2 linked regions of the Xenopus tropicalis genome follow. The protein of the gene in region 1 purifies or fractionates together with the protein of each later gene. This does not show direct contact. Links are inferred from orthologs where the notes say so. Each region holds a gene or a part of one and is shown on either strand. Other genes may lie near its edges.

Evidence for each region.
Region 2: the proteins of dhx15 (region 1) and gcfc2 purify together in Homo sapiens (co-immunoprecipitation; 3 studies listed by BioGRID and IntAct, with this or other methods). This does not show direct contact. The link is inferred for Xenopus tropicalis from reciprocal best matches to the Homo sapiens genes DHX15 and GCFC2.

The regions. Positions count from the first base shown.
Region 1 is NC_030677.2:31,426,293-31,430,435, forward strand, and holds part of dhx15 (pre-mRNA-splicing factor ATP-dependent RNA helicase DHX15), read right to left. Parts: intron 3,294-4,143; coding exon 3,100-3,293; intron 2,821-3,099; coding exon 2,661-2,820; intron 1,197-2,660; coding exon 978-1,196; intron 1-977.
Region 2 is NC_030681.2:145,834,895-145,839,037, forward strand, and holds part of gcfc2 (GC-rich sequence DNA-binding factor 2), read right to left. Parts: coding exon 4,076-4,143; intron 3,778-4,075; coding exon 3,701-3,777; intron 1,665-3,700; coding exon 1,598-1,664; intron 1,379-1,597; coding exon 1,232-1,378; intron 69-1,231; coding exon 1-68.

The sequences.
Region 1 (4,143 bases):
ATGGTAGTGTGTGGAGAAGGATCTAGGGGTTTTTGTAGATAACAAGTTGTCCAATTCCAGGCAGTGTCATTCTGTGGCTACTAAAGCAAATAAAGTGCTGTCTTGTATAAAAAAGGGCATTGACTCAAGGGATGAGAACATAATTTTGCCCGTTTATAGGTCCCTGGTAAGGCCTCACCTTGAGTATGCAGTGCAGTTTTGGGCTCCAGTCCTTAAGAGGGATATTAATGAGCTGGAGAGAGTGCAGAGACGTGCAACTAAACTGGTTAAGGGGATGGAAGATTTAAACTAGGAGGTGAGACTGGCGAGGTTGAGGTTGGTTTCTCTGGAAAAGAGTGCGCTTGCGAGGGGACATGATTACTCTGTACAAGTACATTAGAGGGGATTATAGGCAAATGGGGGATGTTCTTTTTTCCCATAAAAGCAATCAACGCACCAGAGGCCCCCCCTTTAGATTAGAGGAACGGAGCTTCCATTTGAAGCAGCGTAGGTGGTTTTTCACGGTGAGGGCAGTGAGGTTGTGGAATGCCCTTCCTAGAGATGTGGTAATGGCAGATTCTGTTAATGCCTTTAAGAGGGGCCTGGATGAGTTCTTGAACAATCAGAATATCCAAGGCTATTGTGATACTAATATCTACAGTTAGTACTAGTGGTTGTATTTATAGTTTATGTATGCGAGTGTATAGATTGGTAGGTGTGGGTTAGATGTGCTGGGTTTACTCGGATGGGTTGAACTTGATGGACACTGGTCTTTTTTCAACCCTATGTAACTATGTACAGACTAACTCTGGTAATGTTTCATTGCTGCTAGATACACTTTTAAAGGGGACAGATTGTGTTTCTCAGACGGCAGAAAACATCTATGACTACTATAAAAGGGAAACCCTATACAAGCCTTAGATTATATAACGTCGCTTGCATAGAGACACCCCTTTAATTGATAATATAAAAGCAAAATAATTTGCCTCCTTACAAACCTCTTGTCCAGTAAGAAAAAGCAGGAGATCTCCTTCCTCCTCTTCACACATGTGAATCTGAATCACTGTTCGAATGGCTGCCTCTAGGTAATCCCGCTCAGGCTCTGGAGTATAGAAGATTTCTACAGGGTGTGTTCGTCCAGGGATTGTTAAAAGAGGGCAGCTATCAAAATATACCTGGAATTTGCCAGCATCTAAAGTGGCACTCATAACTATAACCTGGGGGAGAAATAAGAAAAAAATATATAACCGACGCAAACAGCAAGTTAACAACATGTTCAACAAAACTTTAAAGGCTATTGACAAACCTATAAAAAAAAAAAAAAAAAAAACTAGGCAATCTTTACAGAATTGTAAGAATAATATTAGGGAAAATAAAATCAGTGAGGTATTTTCTTAAAACTTCACGGAGATACCTTTATTGACCCTGTAAAATTTACTGGCAAAAATATCAAGTGAAACATATTAAAGCCACATGCTTAAATTGATAATAAAGACAAAAGAAAGAATGTGATTAGTTTTCATTAAGCATACAAAATTACAATTTTTTGCAATATTACAGCCAATAGAGGAATACTTTGTTCATATTTAGCATGTCCCAAGACGAGACATTGGAGCACACTGCCCTATAATAGTTTGTTTGTAAAATCACTTCCAATAAGAGACAGATTAATATCTGGTGCTGTCATGGTATCTAAAAAAAAAAAAAACCTAAATAAAATCCTTATACCAAGTCCAAGTCTTAAAAACGTAATTACATTAACAGGGAAAAAGAATAAACCAGCTCTCTATAAATGATCAGCTACACTGAGAAGATTAGACTTCCTCATTCTGAAATACAACTAGGGGGCCTGAAAAGCCATGAAACACCTGAAAGAAAGATCAGACCTATCTGTTAGATAGCCTGATTACAAGAAAACAACACATTTTTGGTTACTGATTTTGGCCACATTGGTCAACTGGATAAACTGCAACAATGACACAGAATTTAAGCGAACTATCTTGCATTATTTACCCCTTTACAGGTGTTCTGTGGGGGATAGTACATTTTGTAGTGGCATTAGCAGAATATTCTCTGGAAATTCCCCATACAGCACGGCAATATAACAGAGGAATCCATTCATTCCCTGCCCTCATCTCACTAAAAAACTAGTCTGTCAAGTTAGCCCTAATCTAATGCATAAACAGGGACTTCTCTGTAGTAATTGTTTACAATCATGCTTGCAGTTTGGCTTCCTACACAACTTTGTATGCTCACAATCTGGATGAATATAGCTAAAGAGAATTGCAGGTGGAGATGCCAGACATTAAGGGCGAGGTTACACAAAATTTATATCCGCTTGTCTTAGCCCTGTGTTTTCTGGCCAGGCTGAGATAAGTGGATCCAATTGCCTACGCTCCTCTGTGTCTGCATTACAAATTATGGAAACTGCCTAAGTGGGCACACAGAATGGGGGTCAACTTGGGAAATGTCAGTTTTCACGTTTTTCAGGCCAATCTCCAATCCACCCCTCTTTTTTGTTTTTTTTGCTTTTAACAGTGGCACACAGAGAAGCGTAGGCAACCAAATCCACTTCTTGTAAAAAAAATGCAGGGAGAGAATCGGCTATCCACTTCTGTGACCTCGCCCTAAACACTAAATTAAATACAATTACATAAAACATATTAGGAAGGAACACTCACCTTTAAGTCATTCCTTTGTCTTACAACTTCCTTTAAAACACCCATTAGAATATCTGTTGCTAAGGTCCTTTCATGAGCTTCGTCAAGAATCACTACCCCATAGCGTTCCAACAATGGATCGTTCATAGCTTCCCGGAGTAACATACCGTCTGTCATGTACCTAAAGGGAAATAAACAGACAAATTAGAAACAAAGTTTTTAAAAAGCACTACAATTCAACTATAAGGCCTATGGCACACAAAACTTTGAGGGCCCTGGACCTGTCAGGTTGCGCAAAAACAATTTCTTTCCAATTACTTAATCTGTTCATTTTTTACTTAACTTACCCCCTATAAACAGGGTATTTTGTTTAAAATGAACTAACCCCTCTTTCCTAACCTGCAGCCTTTGAAATAAAAAGCTGCTCACTAAAAAAAAATTAAAAATTCAGACAACTTACTTCAAGATTGTTTTTGCACTGCTGCAGTCTTCAAACCTAATGGAATAACCAACTTCCTGACCCAACATGACATCCATTTCATCTGCAACTCTTTGAGCCACACTCATGGCAGCCACTCTTCTTGGCTGGGTACATGCAACGCCTCTTTTGGGACCAGGCAATGACCTCATGTAGTCGACACACCACTGTGGAATCTAAATAAATGATAAATGTTAGAGTGGATATGTCCCAGGCACTCACAAGAGAAAGTACATTACAAGAGTTTGATTATACCATCTCAAACATCAACATGTAAGTGTGTGGTGCCTGTTTATACAGAACACAGATTACTTAACAAGCAAAGAGCATTGATTTCCTGGGGAGGTGTCTGGCAATGCAGGAAAGCTGTGGTCCCATCTATAGGTGAGATGCTGGGATACAGTGTCAGAGTGGGCCAGCTGGGAACCATGAGCACCTTGAGGGCCCCACTGACTCAGTCGCACACCCTGGCACTCCTGCCCCACAACGGGTGCAAAAGCAACAAGGCATGCAGAGGGGTGGGCTCCGGAGACCCCCAATCCGACCCTGATAGGATAATATAGGAGAGCATCACAGTATTCACTAAAACTAAAACAATTAACATTTTCCTCTATGTTTTGATGATGGGATCCAGGTCTAATGCTCTTTCTTTCTGCCAACCCTAAAACAATCCCTGTGCCAGTCAGGATTTTGATGCTTGGGGGGCAGAGGAATGATGGTTATATGCTATTTCTATATTAATACAGTAGATGTTAAATCAATAGTTATATTATTTGTACCCTACTTTTATACCAAGTGTTGACTGACCACGCAAAAAACTTCTTGGGTTAACCTCTTCACTACCTTCTGCTATTTGACAAGCACTCAAGTCTTTGGCCTAAACTAAAACCTTGCTCTTATTCCTTAAAACAATCCCCTTATCCTATGCCACCTAGACTACTGCAAACTACATTTAGAGCACTAACAAAATATATGAAAATCTGACTAATAATGGGTTAATGCCCTACCCAATGTGAAGAACAGTAC
Region 2 (4,143 bases), on another chromosome or scaffold:
AGTAAGCGATGAAGAGATGATCCACTCTCAAGGTTCCTAAACCAGCTCTGAGGGAGACATTCAACCACCTACAGGAAAAGGCATGGTCAGATATAGTGAGGTCACTGCTAAAGAAAATACTGTTAAAAAATACTATCCTGTTTGAATGACAGTGGAAGACTGGGAAGTAAGGAAAGTCTGTTACTGTTAGTAGGAGGCACATGTTTAAGGCAATGGCCACACGTGGCCTGCAGATAAATGCAGGCCAAAAATCAGCCCCAGTGCTCTGAACAGCCTTTCCATGGGCCTGGACCCAGAGCCACTGTGTCGGCCTGAATGCAAGGGCACAAAATGGATTTTGGCACTGAAATGCAAACTCACCTGTTTCAGTGCTGAAATCCGATGTGTGTGTAGGCACATCCAAAAGCTCATCAGAGCGTAGGGGCTGATTCTTGCCCTGATATATGTGTTTCTTAAGCCTGATAGGTCCTAACCCTATGAACTTCCCTGCAGATCTGTGGTAAGTACAGAGGAACCCCGTGCTTATATAGTTGTAGGACTATAAGCGATCCTAATGGCTCGTTCCTGCAGAATGAAGTCACGGCAGAACAATTCTTATCTTGGCACAGTCCTATGCTTTTCAGCTTGGAGGGGGGCAAATTATCTCTCATATTGCACGTTCAGGGCTGAATTCTACTAAAAGGATGATGACATACTATGAAATCAAGGAACCTCTCAAGCTGGGGGCCATAAAAATCCCTCTGAGAGACAATAAGCTTGTAAACTTACTGCTGGACAACCATCTGTTCTGCTCCTATTGTTGTCGGTGGAAAGCTTTTTTCGGAATGGTTGGTCACCCACTATAGCAGAGATCTATCTCGGGCGATAGAACCGCTCCATGGGTTCTTACCCTTAGGTGCAAGGAAAGGATCTATAAATCAATGGCCAGAGGGGCTTTGTAAGATGCCATAGGCATTCACTATTTATAGGACTTCAACTTGATATGCAAAAACTTTTTTAAAGGAAAGTAAACCCTCAGAATTTTTTCCTTTGCTGATCTGTTTTGCAGTTCCGCCACTGGCCACCAACTCAAGAAAAAATACAGATCAGTGCTCTGTAATTTGTCTTGACTATTTATTGGAGTGGTGGGGGGCTGTTTGGGCCTCTGTGTACTTGAAATGCCAGGGCCTATTGTGAATCCCAGTCCGGATCTTTTCAGTTACTAAGGGCACTACGGTGAGTGGCTACTTACTCTCTTGCACTTCTTCACACTGTCTGGTCCTGGCTCTGCATTCAGAATTACTAGCAGTAGGTATCGATTAAGCAGCTTATCAAGGCTGAGCTCTTGCAGGGTCTCTTCTTGGAGGAATCCATCCCAGCAAAGAACGTTCTGGAACATCTGGGAAGAACAAGCATTAGAAATTAAATCAGAGCTCACTCCAGTAAAGTTACAAATGGATCAATTTGGCATGAAGTGATGTTCTTACTTCAAAGCTTCAGTATGATATTTTAGCATGTTCTGTATCAGAAGAGACATAACTTGAGTTCATATATGTAATATGACACACACACATACATATATATTTATTTATTATATACCCATATGTCCATCACTTACTTTCACAGCAGACCAGAAACGCCTTTCTTGGAATCTTGAATGCGGAGAGAATCTGTCTTCCAAAAGTCTATTAAGGAAATGTGGGAGGAAAAGAATTGAGAAATATATGAGTAACTGCACCATACTCCTAAAGTCCATAAATCACATAAATACCGAATAACAAGAAGGGGCAAAGTAAAGTTGAAAAATATTCTATTCTGCATTTGGTGCAAAATTTTGCACCAGTCCTAAATTGGACTGAAAAGAATCAACACAACAGAAACTTAATTTACAGAAGCTGTGCTGCAGAGATGATTCTAATGCAGACTACACTGGTTTTTATGCTGCCATATAACGTGAATCTGTTATTTTGTTAGAACTTTATTTTCTATATATAAGTACAGGATATTGTAAGTCAGTCACTAAGCTTAGATAAGTGAGACCAGCCCAGGGCATGTGCTGGGAATGAGCAGATGGGGGGATACTGGGGGCATCTTTGGGGGGGGGGGGGGGGGTTGACCTTACCTGCTAAAGGGCTGTGGTGGCCTTGGGCTGGTACAGAATCCCAAAATATGTTTAACATATTTAGACTAATTCTTTATCTCTAGACTAATTCTTTATGGAGCTTAGTTCCTCCTTTAATAAAAGACTAGGACTAATTAGCTAGTTCTCTCCCAAATAGTATAAAGGTACAGAAATGCCCATAAATCAGCTTCCAATACAAATACAAAGGGACAGTCTCAGTAAATGAGCCCCAGTCTCTCGGATAGATACCCTTCCCCCCCATGTGATTACTCCATGATTTTCTTCCCAGTTCATAACAGGCAGAGGGACAGATATTTTTCACAAGCAAAATTAAAAAAAAAAAAATTAAGAGAAAGGGACTGCATACTTTAAACTGATCTTGAAGGCGCTCTGTTCTCTATTTACCAGTCTGGCAAACAGAGGATGTTGGGCCCAGAGTTCAGGATGTCCTTCTAAGATAAGTCTTTGCTGTTTATGTTTAACAGGAAACACAACAGCTCTTATTTGTGAAGTCATCTTAAAGGACAACTAAAGTTTAAGCAGGCCATGGCCACCATAGCCATGTTAGAAGACCTTTGCCTTTGAAGATGCCACCAGTAGCTCCCCATATTTTATTCTGCTGCTTCCCAGTACACGGCTGTTCTCACTTACCTGAGCTTAGGGACCGACTCACAACATACATACATACACAATATGAAAGATACAATACAAGTCTAATTAGTAATCCAGAATCATGTTACATGGCAGCACAAAATCCAGTGTATTCTGCATCAGAATTTAATTATCATCCCTGTAGCATCAGCTTCTTTGGCAGATGGAACCTCATTGCCTGCTTGATGATTTCCAACAACCTCAAAGCTTTGCTTTGCAACAGCAGCCCAGACACATTGAGCATGTGCAGTGCCACTGACTCAAAAGATGGGGATCTGTGGAGAGCTTTGAGGGGTTCAAGGAACAGTAACACCAAAAAATAAAAAGCTTTAAAGTAATAAATATATAATGCACTGTTGCCCTGCACTGGTAAAACTGGTGTGTTTGCTACAGTAACACTACTATAATTTATATAATAAGCTGCTGTGTAGCCACGGGGGCAGCCATTCAAGCTGGAAAAAAGGCACAGGTTACATGGCAGATAACAGATAAGTTCTGTAGAAAACAATAGTGTTTTATCTGTTATCTGCTATGTGCCTGTGCCTTTTCTCCTTTGAATGGCTGCCTCCATGGCTACATAGCAGCTTATTTATATAAATTATAGTAGACTTTCTGAAGTAAACACACAACTTTTACCAGTGCAGGGCAGCAGCACATTATATTTTAGTTACTTTTATACACTTTCATTTTTTGGTGTTACTGTTCCTTTAAATCATTATTGTTAGAGCATGGCTGATTCACTATATAAAATACAGCATTTCAAGCCAACATGCATTTGCAGGTAGAACAGTGACGAAATGGTTACTCTCAAGGTGCAGATTTCCCTATTGTTTATAAATGTGGAGGAGCAGAGATGCACTTCTGGGTTTCCTATTTTATTGTATCGCATTTATTATTTAGCAATACTGCGGTAAAAGGCTGTGTATTTAGCAGTGACTAATGACCTACCTTTTTGGAAAGAGAGGAATAAACACATCATCTTCAATGGCTTTCTTCATTGTTGAAAGTAGACAATTTATCAGGCCCTTAAGTGTAATAAAAATCGATAAAGGGTAAAGAAAAACACTTTATAAATAACTGTATAGTTTTATTTACATCTTATATTGTATTTTTATAACCAGAATCAGATTCCCTTGACACTTCAGCTGAACTGCTGGTGGTGTAATGAAGCAGTGATTAGCATTGCGAACATTGGAGTTCTGGGTTTTGATTTCAGATGTTGCAGTACCTTTATAGCAGGGGATCTAAACTCATCTTGGAATGCTGAAGGCTGCCTGTCTGTGGGCAATAACAGTAGCAATTTAGCAGGGCACTCCCACTTACCTGCACTGCTTTACTGGACTCATTATGCTTGACATTTGTTTTGCAGAAATGCGCTAGGTTGTCAGTCT